2 linked regions of the Drosophila melanogaster genome follow. The protein of the gene in region 1 purifies or fractionates together with the protein of each later gene. This does not show direct contact. Each region holds a gene or a part of one and is shown on either strand. Other genes may lie near its edges.

Region 1 (16,316 bases):
GCAATTCCGATCGCTACTTCTGTTACGACTGCCACAGCATTTTCGAGAACCGAAATAAAGCTGAGGAGCACATATGTCCGCGGGCGGAATCCGGCGGGTCCAGCCAACAAGATGGCGATGCGAAAGCACCCGTCCGGCGAAAGTTGGCCAGTGTCAGTGCAAGGACGGGTCCGAGAGACGCATCATCCGTTATTAGCTGCGGAATCTGCAACACCGTTTTTAGCTCGGAGAAGTTTCTCAAATTCCACATGCGCATTCATGAGAATCGAGCTCCCAAGAGCATTCAGGACGCCCTTCCTATAGGCGCCCATCAGCAGTACAGCGAGCTGGACCAGTTCTACTGCGAAATATGCAACAAAAGGTATGCTTATATCTGCAATAGAAAGAAATACCACGAATCATTTCCTTATTTACCAGCTTCGATGAAACCCTCCTGACGGTACACAAACAGATGCACCAACAGGAATCTAGTGAGATTATGTGCAGCATTTGCAACCGGAAGTTTGAGAACGAAGTTACCTATCAGATGCACCAAAAAATCCATGAGAAACCGCGCGACTCCGAGTCCTCCCGTAAATTAGCCCAGCGTACTAGTCTCGATAAGGAGAAACCCGGGTTTCCCTGCCAGTACTGCGAGAGGGTGTTCACCCGCCCCTTTGAAAAAGTCAAGCACGAACGGGTCCACACCGGAGAAAAGCCTTACGCCTGCGAGGTCTGCGGCAAGACATTTCGGGTGTCATATTCCCTGACCCTTCATCTGCGTACCCACACCAACATTCGGCCGTATGTGTGCACGGTGTGCAACAAGCGGTGGGTAAAATCAAGTTTCATAGAATTACAGTTTTAAATAACTTATTATTTTAGCTTTAAATCGCACCAAGTGTACTCCCACCACCTGCGCATCCACAGCTCCGAACGACAGTTTTCATGCGATGCGTGCCCCAAGACTTTTCGGACCTCCGTGCAGCTGTACGCCCACAAAAACACCCACACCAAGCCTTACCGGTGTGCCGTGTGCAATCGCCCATTTTCTTCGATGTACGCCGTCAAGAATCACATGCAGACCCATAAGGAGATCAGCAGCAAAGGAAGTGTCGGCTCTGGTACGCCGAACATTAAGAGTGCGGCCACCTCGAAGAGCCAGGCAGCTGGGAAGTTCTATTGTAATACTTGTGGAGCTGAGTACGCACGTCTCTTCGCCCTGCGCCTGCACATGAAGTCGGCTCACGGTTTGGTGGAGGAGCAGGAGAATCCCGCCACCTCAACTGATGCTGCACACGTCGCTGAGACCGATGATTCCGAGACTGCGGTGTTGATAGCGGCAGCCGAGGCAGATGCCGCTTACATAAACGCTGTGGTAAACGATGTAGACATCGTGGGCACCGTACCCACCTACGAAGAGTGCGTTGTGGTGAGTTACTAGTTCTTTGTATCTCTTCCCAAACTTACCTTTTTCTCTTCCTTTATTGCAGTTTGACGTGGATAACTTCCACAGCGAGGAAGTTATTACAGATTGGCTTAAGTAGCAGTTCACAGTTTTACATCCAATAAATATTTGTCTCAAAAATATGTTGTACCTTGAGTATTTTATTTTTGCGTTAGCTCCCCACACATTGAAATCCATCCGCATTGATGTAAGCTAATAAACACATTTGTTTTGATGTAGAATTAATGAAAGGAAAAGAGCATATCTAAACTAGCATATGGATGCGAAATGGTTTATATAAGTTGCACATAAAATACAGGAATACGAATTAAATATTGTGTGCAATTGTGCAAATGTAAAACTTTATTAGGATTATAACTGGCGTGTAACAAGTAAATATATTGCTGGCGTACAATTAGACCAGCCGTTGTGTTGGCTGACGACGAACAGGGATATAAACGCGATATTTAACTACAACTAAATGTAAAACCTTAGACTAAAAAAAACGTGTGATTGGTGTGTAGCCTAGGCGTTGACCTTGTCCTCGTCACCCGTAGTGTCGTCCTCCTCCACCTCGCTGTTGTCCTCTTCGCAGATCTCCTTCAGGACCTCCACCAAATTCTTGGCCTCGTCCAGTTCCTGGCGCATAGTGTCCATCTCCTCCTCAAGCCCCTCGATGCGCTCGTGCAGATGGCGGTTTTCGGTGAGCGAGTCCTCCAGCGCCAGTCGCCGCTGCTCGGCCAGCAGCTTGTAGTAGTTCTCGCCGGGTTCGGCTGTGCTAGTGAGATCCTCTGCCGTGATGGGCTTGTCAGCATTGCCAAGCGGAACGGCCTCAGCATCAGTCTGGGTATCCGCATCCTTTGTGGAAATCGCGGGCGCCGTGTCCACGCATTTGCGCTTGCCGTACTTGGGCGCGACTTGGACGCCGGCCTTCAGACGACTCAGCTGATCCACGATGGAGGCGCGCCCTGAACCAGTGAGGTTCTCCTTATCGTTTACGTTGCCCTGCAAGGGTTTCAGGGTCTGTCTCTGCTGCTTCAGGTGCTCCTTCTGCTCGGCCTCTGTCTCGACTTGGATGTAGACCCTGGCAGCGCTCGAAGACATCTTCGGAGATGTGTATTGTGCTTTCGGTGGGTTTGGTTGTCAGGCGGCAGAGCGTGTGCTACTTGCTTGTCTGTTGTTTATGCATTAATTTGTGCGCAACGCTTCACAGTTTTCCATTCGTTGTAATGGCCGCCAAAAAATGCCGATGCCGCGCGCTGTTGTCCAACACTGTTTGCTCAAGGGGCTGCATCACATGCAATTTCATCCCTCGATTTCGTGTCACGACTATCGCAAAAAGTTACCAAATTATTTTAGGAATGTAAAATTAAGATATCCCTTAAAATATAATTACAAACCTACAAAAATAATGTGAAAAATAACAAATCCTACGACTGCTATGTAGTAGAGTACTTCAAAATATTACCAATCATTCATATTAAATAATTATGTTAATAAAATATTAAATAAAAGCTTGCTGTATTCTTGCTGGTGGATGCTTATCAAAAAAGTATAGTATTAAAATTTCTGTATAAAGCAAAACTAAAAACAAAAAATGCAGCTTACTTTTTGGAAACAGTTTTCTAGCGATGTTTTTAAATTGAAAGAAAACCATACCTACCCTGTGTTTTAAACGACAAAAACAGTTAGACAGATACCTAATTTTAAAGTTAAATTTTTACTTCTTTTGCAAATCATAATTCATACTCAGCCAAGTAGAAGTCAAATATACCCCAATGTCGGATGTAGAATTTTAAATACTAAAAGGAAATGCCTAACATTTTTGAAAACATCATTAGCGTTTTTTAATAATAAATATTAAAATAGCTATAAAGCGAAGTATAAATAGGATTTTAGTTTTTATTTGTTTGGTTTTAGACCTGGTTATGGATCTTGAAAATAATTTAAAAGATTGTGTAAATTAGTTAAGAGATTATAAATAAGAATTGCTTGGATACTACCTTCTTATTAAGCTAGTACTCAAGATGTCCAAATAACATGTAAGCATTTAGCATTTAAAAGTATAAATAAAGAACTTAAAAGAGCTGTGTAGCTTAGGCTGAGCACCTTAAGTTTGATTGATGTATATTGAAGTTATAAATTCATTTGTTGGTCTTCTAGAAACGCGATTTCTGTGATATTCCGCCAGGTGGCAACGCCAGTCACGTCACGAGGACACGAAGGATAAACGTGCGATAAGAGAATAGCCGATAAGAGCTCCACCCAGTCGCAAAAAAGATGTAATTCTCGAAGTAGCGGATATAGATCGTTTACTTTTTTATTTTTCACTCGCAACTCATTCACCGCACCTCCATCCGCCCCACCACGTAGCAGTAGCCCCAAGATGGACCACAACGAAATCTCCATGACTATGGACGCCAAGCTGGATACACACGATAAGCGACCAGTGGCGCTGCGTTACAAGACATGGACCCGCTGCCAAGTGAAAATAGAGGCCATTAAGTGTGTGCCCTGCTTCCTGCGGCTCAGTTTCCAGGCCATGGAGACCGAGTCTCACTCCCAAGAGTGTCACCCCGCTAAACCCATTAGCGTCTCCGTAAACGTTCCGGGCGTCAGCTTGAGCCTGGCTACCTCGCGCACGAAGCAGCACTCGTACGGGCTGTTTTGGACGCAAAATCGGCGGGACTGCTTCATCTATTTCGCCCTGGAAACGGAGACATCCTGCCGACGTCACATGAAATGGATGCGGAAGTCGATTAAGAATCTGGAACTTTATCGCCAGGTCTTTCTAGAACAGCGCCGGCTGAGCAGGGGTCCCGGAGGTCTGGGCCCACTGCCTAACCTGCCGGAAACCCTCGACGCTAGCGCTCTCTCTCCGCGAGTCTCGCAAATATACGAGGAGATTTTTGACGGCAGCCGCATCTCCCGCGTCTCAATCGCATCCGGCATTTACGAAGAGATGAAGCCGTCAGTCATGGAGACTCCTTCACCGCCACCGCTGCCCGCACATCCTTACCGTCAGCGAATAAACACTTTTGAGTGCGCCCAGCTTGGCGAGATTGCGCGGTCCAGCACCAATCCCGAATCGGAGCTGGCCAAGAAGAAGAAATACAAGAACATGCTGGACAACCTGTTCGGGAGTTCACGTCAAAAGCGTTCCGGCAGCACCAGCGAGGTGGCCAATGAACCCAGCGATGAGGTCCTGCCACTGTATGAGAATGCCCCCACGCCGGAGCCTGTGCTTCCGGTAAAGCGCACATCCCAGTTGAACAAGTCTCAGCGTAATAGCTTCTCAAGTCCGGACTTGTCCAAACTCAATCTGCTGGACACCTTTGGAGAATACTTCGAGGCCCAGAACCATGAGTCGAGCATGGAGATAAACATTAGTCTGGATGAGTCGGTCATTGAGCCGATCTCTCGCAATGAGATTATTGCGCAAATATCTAGCCAATTGGGCAAAGCAGACTCTTTGGAAAGTCTGAATGTTTCGGAGCAACTTCCGTACAACTTCAACTTTTCCGCTTGTAACACGTCAACCATCAATCTCATTGGATCGCATGGAGCTGTTCCGCAGAGTAATCAGCTAAAGAAAAATAAGATACTGCACGAAGACCTTACGGGATACTGTGTAATGGCACCCATTTTAAAGGCGACGGTAAAAGATTTGCCACCACAGCCAGGCGGCAGTACAGTGTCCACATCCTCCGGATATTCCACGGGCTCCTACTGCTCCTCCACCAGCAGCTGTAACACGGAGGACCAGCCCACCAAGACGCAGATCGCCAATGAGAGTGACATATACGAAGTCATGCATGGAACCTCTCTGAACAGTACCGTCGGAGCGGCTGCAGCTGGATTTGCGGAACACCTCTACGAGAACCTTTTGGCTGTGAAGGCCGCACAGGAGCTGGAGGCGCAGCCTGTCGGCTTTGGACTGAGCACAAGCACACCCACCGAATCTCCCCTGGCGCCGGCCTTGCCGCAAAAGGGAACGCCCAAGGACAAAACTTTGCAACAGAAGCCAGAGGAGGAAAACTACTACCAGACACCAAGAAAGTCGATTATCAGTGTGGACGACAAGATACCCTCCTATTATCCGAACAGCTGCGACACACTCAAGTCAAAGCGACGCAGTCCCACCGAACATGGACCTAGTTTTAGGCACTTAGTCAGTTCCAAGTTGCGACGTGAACGAAAGGAGAACCTCTACATTTCCTCGCCCCAGCAAATCATTGAGCAGCGTCACAAGGCGGCCACCATCTCATCAGCATCAGTATCAGCCAAGACTAAAAGCTCAACCAAAAAGACTGCCGCCCACAAAATTTCTGACAGTGTTTATGCAGTCACCCATCCGGTAAAGCGTCCGAACAGCACCAATAGCAACAATACCCACCAAAGCAACAATAACAATAACAATGAAGGCGTGGATGACGAACTGCTGCACTTGACCGTTTTGAAGAACATTGACTTTAAGTTTGATGATAGCCAAGCATCTGAGGATTCCTGCAAGGCGAAAGCATCTGCTCTTCCCGTAGCGAACGAATGCTTTGTACAGCCAAATCTGGAGAAGGAGTACGAGGATCGCTTTCAAGCGGCGGAAAAGGCTAGTCGTCTTTTGCAAAAGTATGCGACGCTGGCCAAAATCGGGCATTCGCCCAGCAAGGCGTTGCCCGCACCAGCGCGTCTGGAACCCATGATTCAGTCTGTGGCCACGTCCAATGAGTTGCAGCCCGAGGGAGGCACCATGAAAAAGTTCGCCTCCCTACCACGCTTCAAGAAAATTGACTTTTCGCCGCTGAAGATGAGACTCAATAGTGTCCTCCAGAGAAATCCACCTTCGCCGCAGCACTAAAATGGATTCTCCGTTTTCCGTAACCATGTTTAACACTTCGCTGTGGACACAAACTGCTTTTTAACCATTTCGCTATTTATGTTGTAGTTTCTTGTGAATGTGATCTGATTAGTTCGACAAGTTGATTATTATGTTATCCGAGTATATAATACGCTTTCCCACGATGCACTTAGTATTAAGCCTTATATGTATGGTCATCCTGCTTTGTCAAATGTATTTTAACGAACCATATCCGGATCCACTTGGGGGGTCCCCTAGTATTACTACTGTTGTGAACCAACGATGAATGTCTAAGAATATGCTCAATTATGAAAATTTACAAAAACGCTTTTATACGTATTAAACCAAAAACCACATTGTTGACTCATTTAGGCGCCTTGTTGTTAAAGAAAAACTAAATTTAGCTAAACAATTTTCAATTCTACAGATGATTAATCGTCTACCAAAATGGGCTTACGCCGCATCAGATATTTTTTGGCGGCGTAGCCTGAACTACGCTTTTCGGCTTCGCATAACATATCAGAGATTAGTTAAACTTACAATAAAATGCTTCAAGATAGCATAACCAATGCTGAACTGTACCGTGACTAAACCATAAGCTTACAAATAAAATATGCCACAAAAATGAAGTAAACTTTACAAGCAAATGAAAAGGTGTTTGTTTGTTTTCAAGAAGGAATCACTTTATTTGCTCACTGTCTTAACTGTAAACCATGGGTCGTCGCCGTTCGTTTATAAACTCCTGTTCCACTCGCGAATCCTTGTGCACCACATAGAAGAGCAGAGCGCCACCGGAAACGAAAAACCCCTTTTCGGCGATTATCTCGGCCAGCTGCTTCTCCTCGTCCACCTTGTGGACACAGCCCACCTTGCGGTTCTCGTAGTAAACGTGCACGTTACCCAGGCGGTAGTTGTGTGCCTTGTCGTATGGCAGCTTTTCGGTGAGCAGCGTCGCCAGGCAATCCCGCATGGTGGTGGTCTCCGGCAGCTGCTGATAAAAGTCGCTGTACAGGAACTCGGGGTAGGAGAACGCAGCCGGCCAGATCAGAGTGCTGCCGTCCTCGTCTAGGTGCACCGGATGGTCCTCCAAAGGCAGAAACTTTGGATAAAGGAGCTCCTCACTGAGGACGTCCTTTTTGCCAACTTTTTGATCGTCAAACTTAATGGCGCGCTGCTCGATGGCGTCGCGGAGTCTGTGGAAGCGTGTAAGCCGTCGCTTTGCCTCGGCAGCTTCCTTGCGCTGATTGCGTTCTATCTCGAGCTACGGAAATAACTTGTTTAATGTGGGTTCCTATCCAGTTGGATCACGTATTCTAACCTTCTTCATCTTGTTCTTGTGCAGCAGCGCGATGGCCACCTCGTTGTCGACGTCCACCTCGAGCAGCTCCTCGCACATCTGGGTGCACAGATCGAACCTCTCCAGCTCGTACGCACACTGTGCCGACCGCCAGCGGGCCTTTGTGTAGTCTGGCTTGTAGAACAGAGCTCGCTGGGCGTCGCTCAGCGAGGATCTGTAGTTCTTGATGAAGAAGTGAGCCGCCGAGCGGTTGTTGTAGAGAACGGCTAGCACGTCGGGATTGTCCGTCTTGGTCTTGATGCCCTCGGTAAAGCTGTAGATTGCCATGCGGAACTTCTTGTGCTTCATGTAAAAGTTGCCATCCTCCTTGTAGTTGAGCGCCAGCTCGTCGCGCGTGTTCTCCTCCGGATCGTACTTGAGCTTCTGCAGACCCTCGAACATCGGATGCACGTCATCCCCTGGCTGAGGAGCACGTTTCATGAAGAACGGGTGCTTGTCCATCTCCTCCTGCCAGCGGTCCTCCGGCCAGCCCTCCTCGTAACGTTTCTTCTCCAGGCCATCGATAAACGCATCCAGTTCCGCGTCCAGCTGGGCCGCCAGCTCCAGACGCTCCTCATCCGTCCAGGCTTTTTGTGCCGCCATTTGTTTCATTTGGTCTAATCAGAAACAGTGTGACCGCAGACGAACCGTTACAATATACCAACTGGCCAAAGGTGCCGCACATTTCCTAAAGGTGGCGCCTCTAAAATAAGGGTGGCCCTCCGTCTATCGATAGTCGTACGCTTCCTTCTTTAAACGAGCTAAACTCGGAACGAATTATGATCTTAACATCTTAAATCTTAACATGGTAAAACTTTAAGCCTTTTGACGCTTTACGCAGCTGTTGTGATATATCAGAAACATCGATAGTCGCCATAACATATTGTTATTGTATGAGAGTTTTAAAATTATCGATGCGCTGATGACCCCTTCATCGGCGTTTTCCCACCCCTAATTGGCAGAGACGCGACTGAGCTGGGACGTACCGTTACCGTTGGCAGAGACGCGACTGAGAAATAAAATTAAAACGTCGACGTTCCTTCCTCGTAGAAGAAACCAATCAAAATAAAAACAAACAGAGCGTGCGTTCGCGCCAAATACTTAACAACAATTAGCAAACGTAAGAAGCAAAGTGAGTGTCGTCGGCTGCGGGAGCCCGTGTGCCCAGTTTGGAACTGGGATCCGACCCAGTCCACGTCCGTCTCGTCCCCGCTAAATTTGTAACTCTTGTTTCCCCGTCTTGTCCCCTCAGTGCATACCCTCACGGCGGCCATTGAGATGGACAAGCTGGATGCCAATCTTGAGCAGCAGTTTGATCTCAATCTCATCGAGGCTGTCAAGCTGAACCCAGTGATATACGACAGGTCGCACTACAATTACAAGCACTTTGTGCGCAAGGCCCAGACCTGGAAACAAATCGCCGAAACGCTCGGTGTGCCTGGTAAGTGAAATTCGGCTGGTTTTGGCTACGGGTTTTCTGCTTTCTGTCAGCCGTCTTCGGTCCGTGCCCCAACCAGCCCCAGCCAATTGATTAATTCTGTGCGGGCGCAGGTCGAAGGGGCGGGACAAGTCAGTCGACGACGACGACAGAAAACGACGCAAAAGTGAACGGCGACGCGGCGCAGTAGCTGGCTGATGGTTAGGAAATGGCAGGGGGGGATCTATACGTGTGAGGGTGGGCGCGGGCTGCACCGCTCATAAATTGCATTTTATGCGAACTTTTTTTACTGCATTTATATGGTTGCATTTAGAATACAGTTCATTAGTAATTAAACCTAGGTTAATTTCTATCTGTAAAGATCTGCTCTAAAATGAGCGCCCCTTTCGGGCGCTCGGACTGCGGCCCTGCTTGCTCTGTCGGTGTGCAGACTGTGCTCAGTCGATATTTTTGAAGTTGCTGTACTTTGCCGTCGCGTCGCAGTAGTTGTCTCGCTCGCTCCGCAGCCATTCTGCTTGCGCCAGCGTTTATTTTCGTACACTGCGACTGCGATGTGCGCTGCTCACACACGTATACATGCATACAGCATACAGTGGCAGAAAACAGTTTGGCACGGGTTATAAATACGTATTTATTAGTAAAATAAATAAGTTGCTCAGTTCTTTAGACGAAACTATGGATTTTATTTTAATATTGAATAGGATGAGAATTCGGAAAATTAAAATATAGGGCTTTGGAAAGGTCAATAGATAAGCACAAATTAGAACAGCTGTGTCAACACTTCAGAGTCCCACTGTACATACCGGAGACCGACCAGGCAGCTTTCGTTTCGTTTTCATGAGTATACCAACAAAATGTACCGTTCACCCCACCCCCTCGACGGCCGTTGATCGAACCTTAAATTTTCGGCCAAATCGCTGCACCTCATCCGCTTTCGATTATGCAAGTAGGTGGCTGGAAAGCTGGAGTTGCAGTCAAGTGGAGCCAGCAGCAATGCCACAGGTTTCCGTCTCCTGGCAGCGGGCAGCGGGAGTCGGCGACGTCACAGCCACCGTCACGTCAACGTCTCTGCTGGCGCTGGGAAGCTGCTGTCCGCTGCCTTCCTTCTGCCACCGACGCTGCTGCTGCCAACGGTTTGTTTTGGTTCCCGATTTGATGCTTCTTTGGGTGGGTTTGATGGCATAGTTCTAGTTTCTGCACAGTTCCGGACTACACTAGTCCAGAGCTTCTTGAAGAACCTTCTGTGGAGAACCGCCACGCACAGCTGCGCAGGTGTGCTTGCACCGGTTGTTATGAACAGGTCTTCGAGAAAAAAGCATTTATTCAATGTAACAGAAACAAGATTTTAGTTTATATTAGATTTGTAATATTTTCAGAAACATTTCATTTACTTACGAATCTGGTTTCTTTTTTCTTTTCATTTATAGAGGTATACTTTATCAAGCATTTGACGGGTTACCCTATAAAATAAAATACATACAGTTTGTCAAGAAACTGTTTACACACTGTGAAATAAGTTGAATTTTTGACTTTAAAGCTAAAAATAAAGGGTTTTTTGCTTAATTAAACGCAATTTTTTTTATAAAATATAATTAAACAATATTTATTTTACTTATAAATCAAAAAACAAATTAAAAATATTAAATATACAAGAAAATAAACAACAAATTCCAAGTTTACACACTTTTGAGACTGTCAAGAAACTCTTTACACATTTTGTTTTCCTACTTTGTTTTGTTCTTTTTCTTAGAACGAACTCGATTTTTCCGTTATTTTTGGCTTTGCATTGCTTTTTACAACGCTTCTATTGAAATTTGTTGACTTTGCTTGTGAAATTTTGCTGATCAAACGTGCTTAAAGCGAATTATTAAATTTAATAAAATGCCTGGAAAGAGATTAACTTTTGAAGTTACCCAATTAATAAACTATAACCACCAGTTGGGAAAATCTTTTCCAGAATTAGTATAAATGTTTCCTGTATCCCGTAAGACCGTCTACAATGTTTTAAAAGGCTCGGAAAAAGAGGGCAGGCTTGAACCTAAGAGTGGTGGTGGGCGGAAAACCAAAATTAACAAGCGAGTAGACCGCCTTATCATGCGAAAAGTGATTGCGAACCCCTGAATCTCGGTCAGATCACTTGCTCAGGATATCAGGGAAGAATGTCACCTAACTGTGTCACACGAAACTGTGCGCCAAGTCATCCTACGCCATAGGTACTCTTCAAGAGTTGCAAGAAAAAAGCCTTTGCTATCAGAGATCAATATTGAAAAGCGTCATTCATTCCCTGTGAATGATGGATCATGCGGAAGAGTACTGGGATGACGTCATATTTTGTGACGAAACAAAAATGATGCTCTTTTATAACGACGGGCCAAGCAGAGTATGGCGCAAACCGTTGAGTGCGCTAGAAAAACAAAATATCATTCCAACGATAAAATTTGGAAAAATGTCACTGATGGTGTGGGGCTGTATCACCAGCCGTGGAGTGGGAAAACTAGCCTTAATTGAGAGCACAATAAATGCCGTGCAATATCTAGAAATGTTAGAAAACAAATTTGAAGGCCAGTGTAGAAAAAATTAGTCTGGTTAGCAACAACAAGCCAAATTTTAAGTTTTACCAGGACATGATCAGAAACATAAAGAGTGCAATGTACGCACCTGGCGCCTTAATAACTGTGGTAAAGTGATCTATACGCCCCCTCAGAGTCCTGATCTGAACCCCATTGAAAATTTGTGGACCTACTTAAAGAAGAAGGTGGCAAAAAGGGACCTAAAACACAACAACAGCTTATGACTGTAATAGTCGAAGAGTGTGAAAAGATCCCGTTTGAATATGACCTGCAAAAACTTGTCCAATCCATGAAAAAAAGGCTTCAACTTGTAGCTAAAGCCAATGGGGAACATACTACATACCAAAACTTTTAAAATTTTAATAAAATAATTAAAAAATTTAGGATTAAACTTCGATTTAGTGTTTTGTGTAAAGAGTTTCTTGACAGTCTCAAAAGTGTGTAAACTTGGAATTTGTTGTTTATTTTCTTGTATATTTAATATTTTTAATTTGTTTTTTGATTTATAAGTAAAATAAATATTGTTTAATTATATTTTATAAAAAAAATTGCGTTTAATTAAGCATAAAAAACCCTTTATTTTTAGCTTTAAAGTCAAAAATTAAACTTATTTTACAGTGTGTAAACAGTTTCTTGACAAACTGTACATTTATGTACGTATGATATGCTGATATATGTACATACATATGTACAGTGACGCACCTAATTATAGGCACAGTCTTTTTTTTTTTATTTATTTCTATCACTTCATTTATTTGGAGGATTTGCAGCTCACGAAGAATGTTGATAAATTTAACTTTTCGCACTAGGATCATAAGGAAGGCGAAGGTCGCCCGAAAATCCAATCAGTTCACATTGCAGCCTATTTTAAAACCAAGGGAGAAGGCAATAATAGTCAGATGCCCTTTTCTTCGCAAACGTTTTTTTCTTTAAGTGGTAGTTTAGGAAAGTGTATGATGAGTTTGAACATTGCATCTCGTTGCTAGAGTAAACAATCTATATTGAGTCAGCCAGCTCATCCGTTTAGCCGATGTAAAATATTGTTTAAGTTAGCTGATGGACTTTTGGAAACATGTGATACATATTTTCGGCTTACTAAAAACATTTTTTTTATTATTTTTTAAGTGAGTCATTAGAAAGGCAGTCAGTAATTTCTCAAAAAAATGTGACGCAAATTTCAGACGAAATATGAGCTTATGCGACCTTTTTAAAATCTACCAACCAAGCAATAAAATAGTAGATTGAGTTTTCAGAACTTAAGGCTTCTTTATTTTGGATCATACATATATTAAATGTGGGTTAATAGACAATGCATACATAAAGGCAACATTAGTTTAATAACTATTAAATATGGACATTTAATAATCATAAACCAACAACTCTTTTTCATTTTAGAACAAAAATGTACGAAGCGCTGGAAGAGTCTGCGCGACAAGTTCGCCCGCGAGATGAAACTATGTCAGGAATCGCGCTGGCGTTACTTCAAGCAGATGCAATTCCTGGTTGACTCCATCCGCCAGTATCGAGAGTCGCTGCTCGGCAAGTGCGCCAATGGGAGTCAAAGCGCCAACCAGGTGGCCGATCCGTCGCAGCAGCAGCAGGCGCAGCAACAGACCGTCGTGGATATATTTGCACAGCCCTTCAACGGCAGCGCCACAACCTCGGCCCAGGCACTGACCCATCCGCATGGTAGGTGAACCAGCATTTCAGCACCAGAGATCCCTGCTAAATACTTCGGTCTCTTGCAGAAATTACTGTCACCAGCGATGCACAGCTGGCCACTGCCGTGGGCAAGGACCAAAAGCCATACTTCTACGAGCCGCCGCTCAAGCGAGAGCGCAGTGAGGAGGAGCACAGCGACAACATGCTCAACACCATCAAGATTTTCCAAAACAACGTCTCGCAGGCGGTCAGCGCCGAGGACCAGTCGTTCGGCATGGTAGTCACGGACATGCTCAACACGCTGGGCGTGCGACAAAAGGCAGAGGCGAAGGTGCACATCATCAAGTATCTGACGGACATGCAGCTTCTGGCACAGCACAACAAGTACTAACTGTCGGGCGGCTGTCATCGGCAGCTGCTGCAGCTGCTCCAACTGGAGAGCGTTCTGCCCTGAGATCAAACGAGAACAGACCCACGGCTACCCACATCCACATCTACACGGGTTTGGGGGTCCTGTGCGGTCATTTTCTACAGTTCATAGGTCTTAAAGTCAAACTACAGAATAACATTAGACGTAACATCCCACAGCGTAAACCATAACGCGTAATGATACTTCCCCACGCCCATGTAGACAAACATATATATTTATATGCTTAGTTGACCCCATGATCGGTGATTTAATTCGCGCCCAGTTCTCAGCTCTGTACAAAAAATGCGATTGAAAATAGCGATTCTAGAATTATGAGTAGCTTGTTAAAAGACCGTGGAAACACTTTATATGCAGCGTATTGTAAATTTTGACTACGATTTAGTTGTAATTTGCCATCGGGTCTTAGCTCTAAAACTAAGTATACACGTAAAAGTTATTTTAATTTTATAAGTTCTGTTGTAATATGCCGAAAACGCTTGAAAGACACTTTGAAATGCTTAATTAAGTGTGACAAAGGGAAACATAAAACACCTTTTTCATAGTGATCGCATATTACACACTTTACATGGATACGAGTAAAATCGAAATAGTTGCCGGCAACGCCAGTTGCTAAACATTTTTAATGATTAATTGTGCAATTATTTGGTATTAAATGAAACATTTGAAAGTAACCGACTAGTTTCAATCGGGGTGATATGGCAACGCCGCGAGCCAGCGGCATAAACAAAATCAGCTGTGCGGGCTAATGATTGATTTTATGTAATTGAAATGGCCACAAAATCGGATAATGCTGACTCAAAATCGGACAAATCAAAGGAATCACTAGATGACGCATGGGCAGTAAGTATCCAGCTACGTTAACAGATCCGAGACTCAGGAATCCCCTTTACAGATCCGACCCTGTCATCTGTACAAGGAGGAGTACGACGACTGCACGAGTTTTAAGGCGCGCTTCCACCAGTACTTTATATTTGGCAAGGACACAGATTGCTCCCAATGGCTAACTGATTACCGTAACTGCGAACGATATCAGCAGTCCAACGGGAACGATGTGGCTGCCGGCAAAGCGGTGATTAAAAGCGAGGAGGAGCGCCGAAGGATCCGCCTGCGCGCCCACTTTGCCAACGACACTTGGCAGAAGCGTAAGAAGCCACCGCTGGATTGGGCTGCTCCTCTGCCGGACTGGATGGAGAAGCGAAACGAGAATACCTATCTTGAGCTTAAGCAAAAAGAGCTCTCTGGACAGGCGGCGCCGCAAGGAGAGGAACGCTCGCTGTGCACGATCATGTGAAGATAAATAGTAAATTATTAGTTAAGAAAAGAAGGAAGTTGTTTCATTGTTCTTAAAAGATTTCAGTTTTTCAGCAATGGTTTCTAATAATCGGCGGTCTGGCAACGCTCGTGTCAGCTGTATTTGTTTCTGATAGTGCTGCTACATTTATTAACATTTATTACATTTATTATTATTATTGCTTTCATTAAACACGTAAAGACACATTTTTCTTATAAAACTCATTTGCTTTCAAAGTCTAGGTGTTTGTATTACGAATCAAACAAGTTGTGTAAAATCTAATAAACGTTAGCAGTGGTAATCGGTCTAAGAACAGTAATGCTGAGAATAGGTAATCTAGCTAAAAAATAGCTGTATTGACGACACATTTTGTGCGATACTTCAGATACGGGCTGATATCTACCTACATACCTATTCCGCATCCGCATCCCAACGCTCCAGCTTTGCCTAAAATGCTAAAGGGTAGCACACTGAAAGCCCTGGACGTCAGAATCCTATGGCCCCTTATTGAAACAAGGTCAGCAGGTAAATGTAAATTACATAACCCGAGGCCGACTCCAAACCGTAACATTGCGGCAGCAAAATTGATCGTGACACTCAGATTGCTCTTATCCTGTTGCAGTGGAGGACACCAGCGCAGCTTCTCCAGCAGCACCCACCGGTCCTACATAACATTCAATGATTTCCGCAAAAAACACCGCTGGTACACAAAAAAGGAGCTTGTGGGGTAAGTGAAATGTCAGCGCCCTTGGTGAAATCATTTCTCAAGTACCATCTGCTGTAGCTACTCCATGCAGGACATGTACAGCGTGGTTTCCGACGTCAGCAATTACCACAAGTTCGTGCCGTATGTGAAGCGCTCCGATGTGCACAGCCGGGGAAGTGAGGGCTTCAAGGCGGACCTCATTGTTGGCTTTCCGCCGCTTAACGAGGCCTACACCTCGCAGGTGACCCTGGTGCCGCCCAGCTTGGTTAAGTCAGAGTGCCACGATGGACGTCTGTTCAACTACCTCCTGAATGAGTGGTCTTTTAAGCCGGGCCTCAAGGACATACCTAACTCCTGCGTGCTGGACTTCAAGGTATCGTTCGAGTTCAAGTCCCTCCTGCACAGCAACGTCGCCAACATATTTTTTGACCTTATCTGCGATCAAATGGAAAACGCTTTTATCCAGGAGGTCCGTCGACGGAGTGGTCCGCCCTCAATCCGCTCCCACGTGCTTACTTCGGATCGGTCCTGACCAGAAGAATTGTGGAGATGTTTTTTCTTTAGTGATTTAAGTTAAAGTTGTGTACATTGCGTTGTCAAAC
Region 2 (16,139 bases), on another chromosome or scaffold:
TAACAATTTCTAACTACATTTCTACAGTGGAATTACATTTCAAGCAACTACTACTTTTTTGAACTAATAGAAGAATTTCCACACGTGATGAAGTCAACGCAAAGATAAATAAGTTTCTTACAATTCGAACATCGAAGATTGTGCTGCAAACCATCAGAGTCTCAGGCAAAGGGGGTTCATTATTCCTAAAATATGTTGAGTAAATGCTAAAATAAATAAATTAATTATTAATCAATTATATATAATTACGCTCGAGCCCTAGAAAACAGGCTTACGAATGTACATAGTTCCAAAAAGATATGCCTGATATATATACAATATCTATGTATATCTACGCCTCTGTTCAAGATTTCTGGATTGAGTAGCTTGGTGGGTGGATGCATAAATAGTCGAGCCACGCCAGTTGGGGTGGATATATAGTTTCTATATTGCTTCGCACTGGGTGATAATTTAACAACAACAAAACCAAATTGCCAATGCGAAACTGTTTTTGTGTTTTACTTTTATTTTTGCTTGGGTGCCTTTTTTACACACAGACGCAAACACTCGCACACAGCCGCACACCCACACACATGCGGAAAGTGAGTGACATGTGAGGGGGTGGCAAACTTCCCCCTTTGGGGTGGTTTGGTTTTTGCTGGTGAATGTTTCTGGCACAAAAAGCAAGAAATTCACATAAAAATATACGACTCCTCATTATGATAATACGAAAATAAATGACAGTGGTGTTTACACTCTAACGGTGAGCACGGAAAATGCTAAGGATACAAGGGATACGAATTTGGGGGGATTATGTGGGGCAGGGAACGAAGTGTTAATGCAGCCACATTTTTTGGGGATGCAGAAATACTAGCTATTCAGTGGCTTACATGGGAAATAACAATAAAGCGTAAAAATACTTAGGAGAATATATCATCTGAGTATATAAGGCAAATATTTGTAATATATTATTATTATATATTCGCTCCAAGATAAGTTATACTTAAACTTATACTTGCACAGTTGAGCTTTGGCTTCATTCATTATTACAGGGTATCCTTCCCGCAAGGTACATTCTGATTGCCAAAATAAATCCGGAATCTGGCATTTCAACGCATTCATTAGAAAATAAAATATTCTGCTTTGTCCTCTCGCATCCTGTTTATCCGTGCTAACGTTTTATGCCTTTTGTTCTTGGCACCCACACCTTGGACGGGACGAACGAGTCCTGGAATCGTCCTGATGGCCGCAATCTTAGAAAAAGAATTACTTATTCAGCGCTTGACATGGGCTTTTGGCCCGGCCTAAAAGCCTGCTCTGCCATGTTCTGGCCAGCTTGGCATTGGCGTTGACTGTGCGACTAATAGGCTCGCATATTTATCGTAAGAAGTTCAATTTTTTATTCGCATTTGGGCCGTACGTTTTCCGGCTTAGTTTTGCCGGGGCCATTACCGACATTTTCCGCAAAAGAGCCCCGGCCATTAGCTAATTCTTTTTGGTCCGGCCAGTGAAAGATGAAGAGCGAGCGAGTGAGAGCGAGTGAGAGCAAGGAAGCTTCTAGTTGGGCAGGAAAATGAGCAGAATTTTTCAGCTGCCGTTGACGAGAAATACGTTACATTTTGCCATACGCTCGAGTGGGAAACTCAGGGGTCAACAATTAAATGCCATTTGCAATAAAAACAAACCTGGCTGGCAATGAAAAATTATTTAAATGTGTAGCAGCGGCCAGGCATTTGCACAAATGTCAAGACGGAAAAAGGTCAGGCGACCCGGTTACGGGTGAGGGTCAGCCAATGGTCAATTAAAATCGCTCTAAACCGGAATGACCCCACCTCCGGAGCCAATTTCGCACCGAATCGAACCATTTTTCACAACATGCTAAACAATGGAGCGCAAATTTCGCCGAGTCCCGCTCTGCAAAAATCCTTCGCTCGACTGTTTCAGTTTTCAATGTCGAGCCATAAATTTGACCCCAGCCACCCCTATATGTGTGCCCTGTGAACTGACAGCTCTCCTTAAGGCGTCTTAGCCGTGACCCCGAATTGATGCAATTTCTCCCCGCACATCCGCACATCAACATATTCGCATTAATTTTAACCTCTGGCTGACGCTGACAAGGGGTCAGGATCAGAGCGCTGGCGCGCGTTCCCAATTTTATTATATTTTTATTTTATTTTTACTCTACTTTGTTTTACGCTGACCAATGGCCAGGGGCCAACCCCCGATCGACGCATCTGTAGCGCCGCAGGGGTCACGAAAGTGTGAAAATGTGGACTGATTAGACGGCACATCGTCCTGCGTCCAAGGATCTCTATGGGGTGGGTGAGCGGAATGCTCGTTTTTGGAGTGGGGGGTAGAATATTTGGCGCTTATTTCCCAATGCCGATTGCCTAAGCTCGGGATTTGGTTTGGGTTTGGTTTTCAGATCTTTCGGACGCTCAACAATGGACCATTGCAATGGTCGGGGCTCTAGAGTCCTTTTTACATTTGTCCAATGCCCAATGTCCGAATTCATTTCGCTGGCGACTTAGTGGCCTTAATTTCCAGCGAATTACGAATGTAATCGCACCAAATGTTCGGCCAAAGGGATCGAATATAATTTGTGGGATTTTCAAGAATTTTCCACGACCGTTACTTATGGACGGAACATTAAAATGATTTTTATTTCTATGCTAAATCTGTTGTATTTACTTTTATAAATTTAATGTGTTTAATCTGTTCACATTTTTAAATACTTCGTATGCTATCAAAAAAATATTTTAAAAATTATTTAAAAAAAAGAAATTTTAGACGATGATCATTTTCAAGGACCTTAAAATAACTACATGTCACTTTCAGGTTTTTACATTTGAAGTTCATATTCATAAAGTTATATATGGCTTTTAAAAGTGCTGGAAATTTTTCCTACAAGTTCTTCAGTATTTTCCAAGTAGTAAAATGTAAAAACAGTATAACCCTTTACTCGCCTTAGCCCATTGAATTCACTCAGTAAACCCACCGAGAGCCAAAATCGAAATTAACCCTTTCGCCTAATGACCAAAACTAATTCCAAGAAGATCGCGGCTTGTAAAAAGTGCAATGGAGTTTTCGCTTAACCCGTTCTCCTCCTAGCAACTTTCTCGTCCGCCAAAGGGTTGAGGAAGTAGGGATTTGGCCGTGCAACGAGGCTCAAAGGACAAAGGACACCATAAAAAAGAAACAACCGAGGCGTCATAAAGAAGACAATGACGCCGACATTAGGTGGAAACAAAAAGAGAGGAGAAAACGCAAAGCACACAAATTGTGGGCCGTTTCGAGGGAAACGGGCAAGGACACTCACAGGATGCGATTTTTTCTTAATGGGTGAAAGGGTTGAGGTCGCGCACAAAAAACGGCAGCCAGCTACCTGCCCGCACCGTTGGTCATAAAAAACTAAATATTTTACGATCGGACCACAGAAATGGGATGTCTTACGCGGAAGTGTGTTTTTTGCGACGTTTTTTAGGCTTCAAACAAGACGGCTGGTACAATTGTATGTAGAGCGCACCGCTCTAATGACCATTAGACTCATAGATATTGTATCTTTGTGTGTCTTTCGAAGTTTCTCGCGATTTTCCAGCTACTTTCATTGTTAATCGAAGGTCTTACCTGACCAAAACAAACCGGGACCGAAGCGAAATCTATGGAATAACATGCAAAGCGAGTTGCCTTCATAAAATCTCGTGGCGTGTCGACTGGAAATCCACCAGACGATTGTCCTGCGCGTCCTGCCGTCGTCCTTCGCACTATTGTTTGGCCGCATAGCCAATTTTACGGCGTAACCATTAAGGCGGACAATGAAAATTAGAGCAACTATTCGCCCTGCCCCGGGACCTCTGCTCTAGTTTCCTTTTTTAATCCTTCGGTTTTTCGTGCTAAAAAAGGATTTACGGATGTTGGCCGAACGCCCGTGTACACAGCCATCCTGTTTACCATAACATTTCGGCGGAATTTTAACGCAGCCCTCTCGCTTTCCACCCATTTTCGTGGGCGTAACCCGCGAGCACTTTTCGCATCTGATTTATGCGAAATGTTAATTTTTGCGGCTTCCTAAGGGCTTCGACATGCCGGAGAAGTGTGCAAAATTCACCAGCGAATGTAGCAGAGATTTGCAAGTGTTTTTTTTTTTTTTTGCTACCTAAGGACCACAGGACTTTTTGGTAAATTGTTTGGTTTTGTTAGGGAGTAAACCACGAAGTGACTGAGCACAACGTTCTAGTCATATATAAGCGATAAGTATTATGAATCGAATACTTACTGTCGTTTCAAACTACACCAAAAATTATAAATTCAACATTTTTGAAAAAAAAAAAAACTAACATCATTGAACCTATCCTTTTGGATAGGTTTCTAATTGATTCAATACAGGATTACTCTTATATAATCTAAACTTTTTTAATCAGCTTCCAAAACCTTTAAGTATGCAACTACTCTCGAACAGCACTCTAGCCAACAGTAGCGCATAAATCTAAGTAATTGTGTGGCGAAACCAATTTGCACTTAAGATCAAAGAGCCAAATCGCCGTACAATAACCACACAAACCAAAACAGCCAAAAAAGAGAATCCCCTTCAGAAGGAAAGAAAAAACCTGAAGTAAAATGGCAAATCATCCTTGGCATGAAATCAGCTTACGAACTCAAGGTGATATCTCAACAGGCCGCAGGACAAAGGTCAGCAGAAGAGTGCGCCAAATCAAAACACAAAAAAAAGTGAAATCCTAATGAGATACTCCCTCCAGGGGCGAATCGGTCGACCACAAAATCCCAAGCGCTTGGCTGCACATCTTACAGATACATTTGCATATCATTTGGGAGATGCGAAGATCATGAGATAAAGATGTGCGGATCCGCCCTGTTGATCTGCCCAATCTTCCCCTCGAAGGAACTTCTGTTGAGACAGCCGCAGGCCAAAGGTTAAGGATAAGGATCATTTGCATGCGTGGCATGGACTTTCGGCAATTAGACGATCATGATCATCAGCATGTTTGTGTTTGTCCCGATCACCGGATAGGTATATCGCAGCTCATCAATTAAAAGGTCAAGCGTGACGGTCCTTGGGACTATTTGTTATGTCCTTAACTTCAACTTTACATAACTTTCCAAACGTAACTGGGTAGGATCCACACAGCACCCGCCCGCCTAAGCAACGCTAATCGGGCTGATCAGCGAACGCTAATCGCTCGGGACTAACTGGATCCTCCGGATCAGCGGCGCTGATCCTGCGTGATCCTGCGTACTGCGTAATGTTGGATTATGTCCTGTGCAGAAGTACGGCCAACTTTTAAATCGCTTTTAAATCCACATCACTCTAGTTCCAGTCGCACTTCTTCGGATGCGCGGATTAATGAACTGGGCGGGCCGATCAGGTAGCTTTGCGTCCTTTAATCCTTTCTTCGCTAAGTCCGGTTGCAGTTCGTATTCGTAATCCGGTTTGCCATGTCAACGTCAATGGCAGGTCTACCTCCGGTACTACCTGTTCCCGAGACGTCCTTTTGACACATATATTCCTCTGGATATGTGAGAGCAACTTGTATAATTTGCATTCCGGCGGCGATTTGTTTGCTCTGTTGTTTTGTAAATATTGCTTTTACATTTTCCCCACCCCCTCTGCCAACGCCCTAATTTCTCCCCGTTCCACTTTAGTTTTAGCCAAAATATTCGACATAAACAGGAGATTTTAGCCCAAATATTCCACATAAACAGGAGATTGAATAAAATAGCTGGAGGCACATTAATTCCGAACTTAATTATGAATTTGCATGTATGTTTTCTTTAGAAAAACTCTGATCCATACAAATAATAAGTTATCCTTTTGTATTGTATAGAGAAAAAAAGGTTTTTACCAATGAACTATGAATAATGAATAATAATAATAGTTTTTTTTTTTAGTCCAAAATTTGTCATTAAACCTAGTTAGAACAATCGCTCCTAATTTATCATTCTAAAAGCGAACATTCCGCTTGGGAAAAAAATTGGTCTAAACCGAATGATACTATTAATGATATGCATTTATTGCTAACCATAATCCTTGTCAAGCTAACAATGATACATTTTCCGAAATTAGCTTAAAAAGGTGGAATACACCCAATATGCACAAACTACCTTAAGGAGATTTGGAATTTCGAATGCTAATTGTGGCAAAGCTTTGCCCAAATTAAGTTAACACGCACAGCAACAGGAAAATGTGTTAAAGCAACAAGGAATCTCCTCGGCCCAAACTTCCATCGTCCCAATTGCAGTTGGCTAAGTTGTTAATGTGTCTGGGCTTAAAGTTGCCCAAAAAACAATTGGCGAAGGCCCCCCATCTTCCTCCATTTCCGCTCTCTCACTTTTGGGCCAGAAATCAATAATCAATAGTGAAGCGGAGATGCCAAAAAACGGCAAAGAGCCAAAAAGGCAGCTGCATTCGGCCAAAATGCAGCGCCAGAAAATGCAAAAGGATAAAATGAGCGAGTCAGAGCGAGAGAGTGGGTGAGTGAGTGAAAGAGCGAACGCCACGAAGGGGATGCTGTTTAGTTATTGCTTTTGGGGATGGGGAAAGTCACTCAGATTTACAGCTAGCATCCGTATCCGTTTTGAGTGAGTTTCGTCGTTACGTTGTTGATGCTCTCCGGCTGCTCTCTCATTTCGATTTCTGCTTCTCCGTGTAACGGCTCTCGTGCGCCTTTGTGTTGTTGCACTTCTGGCATTTGTTTTTGCTTTGCAATTGAGATTTTAGATTTGAGTTCTTTTTTGGCGAGTGCACTGTTGTGAGGAGCAGTGAGGAGATTTTCAGCTATTAGAAGAGCCCGCTGAGCGTGAGTTTGGTCAGTTGTGCTCCGAGTCCCGAAAACGAAAGTCGCCAGCATTGACAGGCAGCCACTGAAATACAAAAATAACCAAACATCCAAAGGACGAAACGTAACTGCTATCAAAACAAATATTGCCATTAAATACAATTAAACTTCGTGCTTGTGCTAAAAGATAACCAATTGCAAAAAGACTTTTGTCCCGAAAACTTATTTTTTGGCAAAGACCACATCCCGCACATGCGCGAATTCCGCGAAAAAGAAAGCACAAAAGCAAGCTAAAAAGCGAGGCCCAAAAAATAGACAAAAACGAAGAGCAAGGAGCCCCCACATCGCCGCTCCCCCTCGCACGCACTGTGCGTGTTGGTCTAACGGTAACCGTGCCGCGGTCAAGCGAGAGAGTGGGAAAGAGAGAGTCCGCGAGCGAAAAGCGAAAACTTACGTGCTCCTGCTCCTGCTCCCGGTTCCCGTTTCCAAATTCTCCCGCAGAATTGCACTTGGACTGTCCGCAAGGTAAGTAACTGGGCGTACCATCCAATATCCTAGTTATACACTGCATTCGACCTCCAATAAATCGTAAAAAACACATGGAGGTAGAAATTCGCAAAAGCTTTCCGCGGATAAACAAATAAACAAGAATTACAAATCGCTTTTGCGGGAGCAAATGCCAAAATGTTGGGGTATCCAGAATATACACAGTTTTTGTGAGGATTTACATACGCCCTGTAAATTTTAATTTAGTTCTCAATTGATACGAAATCTGTTTTTTTTTATAGAATATATTCGATATATAGTTGTTTAATTATAATTCATCATGTGATATACTTTCAAAAGAAACAGATTTAAATAGTTCGTTTATATGCTATTATGCACTATGCTTAATGTATTTTACTTTATTAATTCATGCTAATCTGATGACTGATAACCAATTTGCTTATTCTATGTCATAATCACCTTTAATCCCAAGTACTCAACTTTCTTCTAGTTCTGCACATTTTCTTGTTCTCTTCTTGTTGTTTGTAATCGAGTGCTTCTTTTTCTGTCTAACCTTAGGAACACAAACAAGAGATCTCACACACATGCACACACACAACCACACAGAGTGGTAAATCATTGCTAAAAATGCAAATGGCAAAAATTCTAAAACAATATTTTAAAATCTGTCTGGCTTTTGGCCGATCTTCGGGTGAACTTGTTTTTTGCCCGCTCTGTCTGTTTTTGCCTAGAACTGCAGCGTATATCCAACCCCCAACCGACCCCCCCCCCTCCTCATTTGCTCCTCCTAAGCAACGCCCCTGGCCACGCCCCCCTCTACGCCTGACAGCTAATTTTATTTGTTTACATGTCGACTTTCATGTTGTTTTTTTTTCGCCTTCCTGCCCCCCAAATAACCCCTTCAATTTTTAGCATTTCTTTTCGCTCTTCTTTCGGCAAATGCATTTTCGACTTTTCTTTTTTAATAATTTAAATTTAGACATCGAACTATAATTCAAAGTCAACGTGGCAATTTTTTAATGGCAAATAGTTCGGCACTTGCCAAAATGCATTTCAAATATAATGAATACACCTATGTGACGCTCGCAGGCTTTGTTTTTTTTTTTTGTTTAGGATGATGATGGGAATCATTATTGCACGATCTTTTGCAGAATTGATTGTCATCCGACAGTTTTAATGTTTGCCGACAAAAAGAACTGAGCGCATTTCAAACAAATGGGGCTTTGTTAGGCGCATAAAAATAAATATGCACATATTATACGGGATATATTTATAAACCGCAAATGACATTGAATCACTTCAGTCAGCAGCAGCAGTGCAGTTTTCCCTAAACGAATGCAGCTCCAAAAAACAACAAGTTGTTCTAAGCCAACAACATAACGGTTGCAACTACACATATGTATACGCATACATACATATATTTTATATACGCCTGCAAACAAGCAGGCATATCCTGCTCTTGGCTTGCTTTTTGTACGGATTTTTCAACAAAAACATTTTTTGTGTGGCGCATTTTCTGCGTTTTCGAATTTTTCCATTTTTGCCATTTTCATGATATTTTTAGAGGGTTAAAAAGGGGGCGGTGTTGGGGTGGGGGGGGAGGCACCAAAAACGACTAGCACATGTTTAGTTTACTTTTGCAGTTTCGGTTGCCTGGCTGCACTCGTTGTGGCCACACCACGCCACTAACCCCCACTGCATGGTCCCCATGCCCCCACCCCTGCCCCCTTGGCCCATGCCCCTGCCCGGCGTAATATTAATTTTACACTTGGCCTTTAGTTTGGCTTTGTTGCTGTTGTTGGGCATGGCACAAAAAAGCCCAGACGAAAGGCGAAAATTCTCTTTGTTTCATAGTGCGCACACACACTAACACACTTGCCGAGCAATTAATTTTGGCTTTCTTTAAAAATATCCACAAAAGCGAATTTAAATAAATATGCTAAGCTTCATTTTGTGTGGTGCACTTTCTGTTTCCTGAACCATCAATTATGCCTAAGTATTGTAGATATTTTAGCTGCCAGATAGCACAGCACCATCCTCCCATAATAATATTCCGTAAATGCCCCTTTTTCCCGTTTTGCGTTTTTAATAATATTTACTTGAAAGCACAAACAATTAGCCAAAAATGCAGCAACTGCACAATTTTTCAGTGTGAAATTGGAAATGGAAAAAATATAGGCAACAAGCAATTTTAATGCGAGAATTATTAGAAAAACTACGCAAATCAAAGTGAAATGTCTGGCGGAAAATTGTTGTCAGGAAAATGTTTTTCAAATGGGTGTGTAATAATTATACTGCACATATTATGCATATAGTTTAGTTGGTCCTTAGAGTTTTCCCGCAGGTGTAAGCAGTTCTGATCCGTTAATTTAGTTAAGTCCCGCAATCCTTTTTACTTTTTATTATTAACTACGAAACTGCCCACGCTAGCTGCCTACTCCTGCTGTCGACTCCTGACCAACGTAATCCCCATAGAAAACCGGTGGAAAATTCGCAGCTCGCTGCTAAGCTGGCCATCCGCTAAGCTCCCGGATCATCCAAATCCAAGTGCGCATAATTTTTTGTTTCTGCTCTAATCCAGAATGGATCAAGAGCGCAATCCTCAATCCGCGATCCGTGATCCTCGATTCCCGACCGATCCGCGACCTGTACCTGACTTCCCGTCACCTCTGCCCATCTAATCCCTTGACGCGTGCATCCGTCTACCTGAGCGATATATAAACTAATGCCTGTTGCAATTGTTCAGTCAGTCACGAGTTTGTTACCACTGCGACAACACAACAGAAGCAGCACCAATAATATACTTGCAAATCCTTACGAAAATCCCGACAAATTTGGAATATACTTCGATACAATCGCAATCATACGCACTGAGCGGCCACGAAACGGTAGGATATTGTTAGCCATTACCAAGTGTCTCCATTTTGAACACAAAATCACTCAAATCGCCTTCAGGGGGTGGGTGCCGCCCAGCCACCCCTGACGTATTTTTTGTTAGGGGTGGTGCCGCAAGCACACCAAAAAAAGAGAAAAAAAAAATAAAAGCGAGGAAAAATAAAATGAAAAACAAGCGGAAAAAAAGAGGAAAAAACTCGACGCAGGCGCAGTGCATGAATGAATAAATGAATATGCCCACTAACCCCACTCTCTCTGTTTTCTTATCCATTACAGCCGTCTAGAGCCGCCAAGATGCAGAACTGGGAGACGACAGCCACGACCAACTACGAGCAGCACAACGCCTGGTACAACAGCATGTTCGCGGCAAATATCAAACAGGAGCCAGGTCATCATCTCGACGGGAATAGCGTGGCCAGCAGTCCGCGCCAATCGCCCATTCCCTCGACCAATCACCTGGAACAGTTCCTCAAGCAGCAGCAGCAGCAGCTTCAGCAGCAACCCATGGATACCCTGTGCGCCATGACCCCATCACCCAGCCAAAACGATCAAAACAGCCTGCAGCATTACGATGCTAACTTGCAGCAACAGTTGCTGCAGCAACAGCAGTACCAGCAGCATTTCCAGGCAGCCCAGCAGCAACATCATCACCATCACCATCTGATGGGTGGATTCAATCCGCTGACGCCACCTGGTCTGCCCAATCCCATGCAGCACTTCTATGGCGGCAATCTGCGACCCAGTCCGCAGCCCACGCCCACATCTGCCTCCACAATTGCGCCCGTTGCAGTTGCCACTGGCAGCAGCGAGAAGTTGCAGGCACTAACACCACCCATGGATGTCACACCGCCTAAGTCGCCGGCCAAGTCGAGTCAGTCGAATATTGAGCCGGAGAAGGAGCACGATCAGATGTCGAACTCCAGCGAGGACATGAAGTACATGGCCGAGTCCGAGGACGATGATACCAACATCCGGATGCCCATCTACAATTCGCACGGCAAGATGAAGAACTACAAGTGCAAGACCTGCGGCGTGGTGGCCATCACCAAGGTGGACTTCTGGGCGCACACCCGCACCCACATGAAACCAGACAAGATCCTGCAGTGCCCGAAGTGCCCGTTCGTCACCGAGTTCAAGCACCACTTGGAGTACCATATCCGGAAGCACAAGAACCAAAAGCCCTTCCAGTGCGACAAATGCAGCTACACGTGTGTCAACAAATCCATGCTAAACTCGCACCGCAAGTCGCACAGTTCTGTGTATCAGTACCGTTGTGCGGATTGTGATTACGCCACCAAGTATTGCCACAGCTTCAAGCTGCATCTGCGCAAGTATGGTCACAAGCCCGGCATGGTTTTGGACGAGGATGGCACCCCGAATCCCTCGTTGGTCATCGATGTTTACGGCACGCGTCGTGGTCCGAAGAGCAAGAATGGTGGACCGATTGCCAGTGGAGGAAGTGGCAGCGGCAGCCGGAAGTCAAATGTTGCAGCTGTCGCTCCGCAGCAACAGCAATCTCAGCCAGCTCAGCCAGTCGCCACATCTCAGCTGAGTGCCGCCCTGCAAGGATTCCCTCTGGTTCAAGGCAACTCCGCTCCTCCGGCGGCATCTCCAGTGCTCCCGCTGCCCGCCTCTCCTGCCAAGAGTGTGGCCAGTGTGGAACAGACGCCCAGCTTGCCCAGTCCAGCCAATCTTCTGCCTCCTCTGGCCAGCCTTCTGCAGCAGAACCGCAACATGGCCTTCTTCCCCTACTGGAACCTCAATCTCCAGATGCTGGCCGCCCAACAACAGGCCGCTGTCTTGGCCCAATTGTCGCCAAGAATGCGAGAGCAACTGCAGCAACAGAACCAGCAGCAGAGCGACAATGAGGAGGAGGAGCAGGACGATGAGTACGAGCGTAAGTCAGTGGACTCTGCCATGGATCTGTCCCAAGGAACGCCAGTGAAGGAGGATGAGCAGCAGCAACAACCGCAGCAGCCGCTGGCCATGAATCTCAAGGTGGAGGAGGAGGCCACGCCTCTGATGAGCAGCTCGAATGCCTCGAGACGCAAGGGACGCGTCCTCAAGCTGGACACCCTGTTACAACTGCGATCGGAGGCCATGACATCTCCCGAGCAACTGAAAGTACCCAGCACACCCATGCCAACTGCATCCTCGCCCATTGCCGGACGCAAACCCATGCCCGAGGAGCACTGCTCGGGCACCAGTTCGGCAGATGAGTCGATGGAGACGGCCCATGTGCCGCAGGCCAATACCAGTGCCAGTTCGACGGCGTCCAGCTCGGGGAACAGCTCCAATGCCAGCAGCAATAGCAACGGCAACAGCAGCAGCAATTCCAGCAGCAATGGAACCACCTCAGCGGTTGCAGCTCCTCCATCCGGAACTCCGGCGGCGGCGGGTGCCATCTACGAGTGCAAGTACTGTGATATCTTCTTCAAGGACGCCGTGCTCTACACCATTCACATGGGCTACCACAGCTGCGACGATGTGTTCAAGTGCAACATGTGCGGCGAGAAGTGCGACGGACCCGTCGGCCTCTTCGTTCACATGGCCAGGAATGCTCACTCCTAAGTTCCCCATCACCATCACCTTGTTATTATTATTTATCACTATTATCATATAATCGTTGTCCAGAATTGTATATATTCGTAGCATAAGTTTTCCAAACATTATTTTGTTGTCGAAAATTGTACATAAGCCAATTAAGCCGCTAATTCTAGACCTAAGTTTATCTAACTATCCTAACTGTATTGAACTGTAGCCACCTTTCAATCTGTCTCCTATACACTCTTGTATTTTCGAAATCGACTAAAAACCCTGAAAACGGTTTAAAAACTATCATAAATGCATGGAGAAACATAAGCCTAAGTTAAATCTAATTTGTAAGTTGAGTCAAGCGAAACAACCAAACAATACCAACAGTCCAAAGTCAAATTAATAAAATATAGTTTATAACATATACATAATGAGTATGTTTTCTAAAATAATTAATTAGTCTTATTTAACCTAACATATTCGTATATGCGCATAACACTCAGTTCTTTCTCTGATATTATTCTCTCAGTATTTTGTTAGTTGAAAGCGAATTCGAATCGAACGAAATCAAATCAAATAAATCCAATTATTCAATATAATTTCACAAGTTTTTCGCTTTTTTTTTTTGTTGTTAACCTTTTGGCAATAATGACAATATTTTCGATGCAACTGAAACTGACGAAAGAAGAAGTACAAATTTAGAGATTTTTAAAGAGTAGCTAAGATGCGCGAAATCTGAGCAACGGATCAAAATTAGTATTTACCCCATAAAATCTAAGTCGAGGTCATGAAACGAATTTCGAGACTTAAGATGTGAGCCCAGTGTAATCCTTGATAAATCCCATTTTAAGTAAATTAAACTAGTCTAAGATATTTGCCCACGAAATGTTTTTATGCAATAACATAATAAAGATGAAGATATTATTATTATTATACCTGACTATGACTTTAGCTTTCATTATTATATATGGTGTTTTATTTAGTGCGTTGTACTATGAACACTCATACATATCCTGGAGATTCCTTTAACTTTCTTCAACAGAACCCCAGCATATTATAATATATCCCTTATCCAACCATATGGCCAAGTACTGACCAATGGAACTGTCAACACGCGATCTTTAAACATGATTTATCGCAAGCGATCACCCTCACCAAAAAAGCAACTGAATATATTGGGAAAATTGTAAGTATGTATGCATCTTCTTTTCAATTGAAGAACTGCTCCATCATGTGCTAAATACCCAAGTTATTAGATGAAAAGGAATAATATACAATACAGAATTTGTGTGCGGGCGCAACCCAACAAATTGGACAAGCTCCTGCTTTCTTCCTTCATATTTCAATGCATCGAATTTTGATGGATTATTGACGTTTTGCGTGAAAACGCACAATTCGCATTGCATATGAGAGGGGCATTATATAATAATGAAAAACTCATGAGCACGCGCTGAAGGAGCCGGAGGAGGAGTGGCAGGAAGATGACGCAGCAAGGGGACTCCTTCTGCAATCCGGGATCACTTGGGATCGATCCTTGGAATTTTTTTTGGGGTTGGCGCGCATGCGTCCAACGCACTTCAGCCAAATGGCGCGTGGATAAGGGGAAATTCCTTCAATTTTCGGGTCTCGAGTGGAAAGTCAGTTCTATAAAAATAGTTTTCTCCAAGCTGCATCTGATTGGTGGTTGAAGGAATGCACTTCTCTAGATGTTAATTCCATGTAAATTTCGTTTAAATGCCGTTTTTCCTCATTAAATCATTCCACCAATAATTGATATTTATGGACGAAATTAATTTCGTTGGGAGTCAAGGGTGAGTGCGGGGCCAAGATGATGGTTTAAGGCGTCTGATCTTATCGCAAATTAGATTTTGCATATCCCCTTAGATTAAAGCCTCAAGCCAGAAGGATCTGCACATCCTTGTTCATTTAAGCGAAGTTAGGTTGGCAATTTGCCCTTTGTACCGGATAAACTCTTGGCTTGTGGCCGCCGCAAGCGAAAGATGTTTATCGATAACGAAGGAGTCCCTGCCGCATTGTCCTCATTTGAGCTAACGATCCCTAGTTTCTGGTTTTGTTCCTCGGTTCTTATCTCAGCTTGTGGCTTTGTAGCATCTCCCTTCTTCCTGCTGCCCGTCATTGTTTGCGAATAGACAAAAAAACAAAAATGCAGAAGAGTAGGTGGAGAGTCCTGGCCACTTTGTGTCCTGCGAGTTCTTCAAATAGTTCAATTGCCCGGCCTGCTGACCATTTGAAAGGTGTAATTTTGGTCGTGTTAGGGTACCGGGTCCCTTCTCCTATGTCCTGAATGCAGCTGCTCTTGCCATCCTCCTTTCCCAGCTATTGACTCACCTTTTGACTCCCCCAACACTGATTGATCAGCAGGACACGCGTATGGCACACTTTCACAATACATAATTTGGGCTTTTACCACTGCCCCAACTCAATCGGCAATTATCAAAGCTAGCTAAGTCTGGAGAATTATGTGCACTTGGAAATAAGAACAAAACTTCCTAAGCTAGTTAGTTAGTTATTATATTAAACGTTTTATAAATCATACGATTTGTTATCTTAAATATATTTTATTAAACGATAGAATTACTTAAGTTTTGTAGTATTACAGCATACTCGTACATATGATGGAACTTGGATTATTTCTTTAATACTCAGCTAAAAAGGGCTGTGATCTAGAGTATTTCATAAATTTTCCCTCAGTGTATATACAAATAATAGTCGCTTGGTCACATGTATGTACATATATCCCACAGGGCTAAGCAACGCCATAAATAGGGTATTTATGTTTAACCACCACCTTCGACTTCGCCATTTTGGGATGGGGGATGTGATTCGGATTTGGTGTGGGTTACGGATTGAGTTTTTGGTGCCAACGGTGCACGATATGGTGGCCATTTTTAGCAGCTCTGCCACCAAAAATAACACAAAACCAAAATAGCAAATATTGAAAAAGGGGAAAGGGGTTAACAAGGGTTTCCACTCACCCAAAAATATATAGTAATATACTCGGGGGGTAACAGGGCGACATGTTGTGGGTGTTTGGTTGATTAGACGGCGTCCGGGGTGCCCAATGGCCACATGCAGGATCCGATGCGATCCCATGATTAGCAATCCACCCCGCAAAGTCAGCATCCTTTGATGAGCTGTTGATTGCATCAGTAAAAGCCGGCGCCCACATCCAGGGATCGAAACTCGCCGGCTACTTTTTTCCACAACTTTACGCATTTTAATTATGAAAATCGCCAGGACTGGGCAGGAATGAGATGGGATCGGATCAGTCGGGTACCCGGATCAAGGGACCAGGGCCAGCATCTGTGTGTGGGTTAATTATCAGCGGCGATCCTTTCGATGTCTCAAGCGTGACGTCATGTGCGAGCCACCTTAAGGATTTGTTGAACACCCGATAATTTATTTCAG

The links.
Region 2: the proteins of Adf1 (region 1) and hb purify together in Drosophila melanogaster (affinity purification with western blotting; one study listed by BioGRID). This does not show direct contact.

The regions. Positions count from the first base shown.
Region 1 is NT_033778.4:6,653,700-6,670,015, forward strand, and holds Adf1 (Adh transcription factor 1), read left to right. Parts: upstream 1-8,570; 5' UTR 8,571-8,748; coding exon 8,749-8,749; exon of another isoform or gene 8,750-8,869; coding exon 8,870-9,058; intron 9,059-9,695; exon of another isoform or gene 9,696-10,357; intron 10,358-10,450; exon of another isoform or gene 10,451-10,496; intron 10,497-13,020; coding exon 13,021-13,314; intron 13,315-13,373; coding exon 13,374-13,678; coding exon of another isoform or gene 13,679-13,741; 3' UTR 13,742-14,386; downstream 14,387-16,316. Other genes in the region: Opbp (Optix-binding protein), read left to right, coding at 1-361, 418-810, 865-1,411, 1,473-1,526; geminin, read right to left, coding at 1,952-2,530; sced (scrambled), read left to right, coding at 3,813-6,281; Dpit47 (DNA polymerase interacting tpr containing protein of 47kD), read right to left, coding at 6,982-7,542, 7,600-8,229; CG15908 (uncharacterized protein), read left to right, coding at 14,486-14,557, 14,610-15,008; CG9410 (uncharacterized protein), read left to right, coding at 15,461-15,735, 15,793-16,246. UniProt on the Drosophila melanogaster protein: May play an important role not only in the regulation of Adh expression but also in the transcription of other genes.
Region 2 is NT_033777.3:8,688,485-8,704,623, reverse strand, and holds hb (hunchback), read left to right. Parts: upstream 1-6,801; 5' UTR 6,802-7,298; intron 7,299-10,023; exon of another isoform or gene 10,024-10,168; intron 10,169-10,451; 5' UTR 10,452-10,469; coding exon 10,470-12,746; 3' UTR 12,747-13,135; downstream 13,136-16,139. UniProt on the Drosophila melanogaster protein: Gap class segmentation protein that controls development of head structures.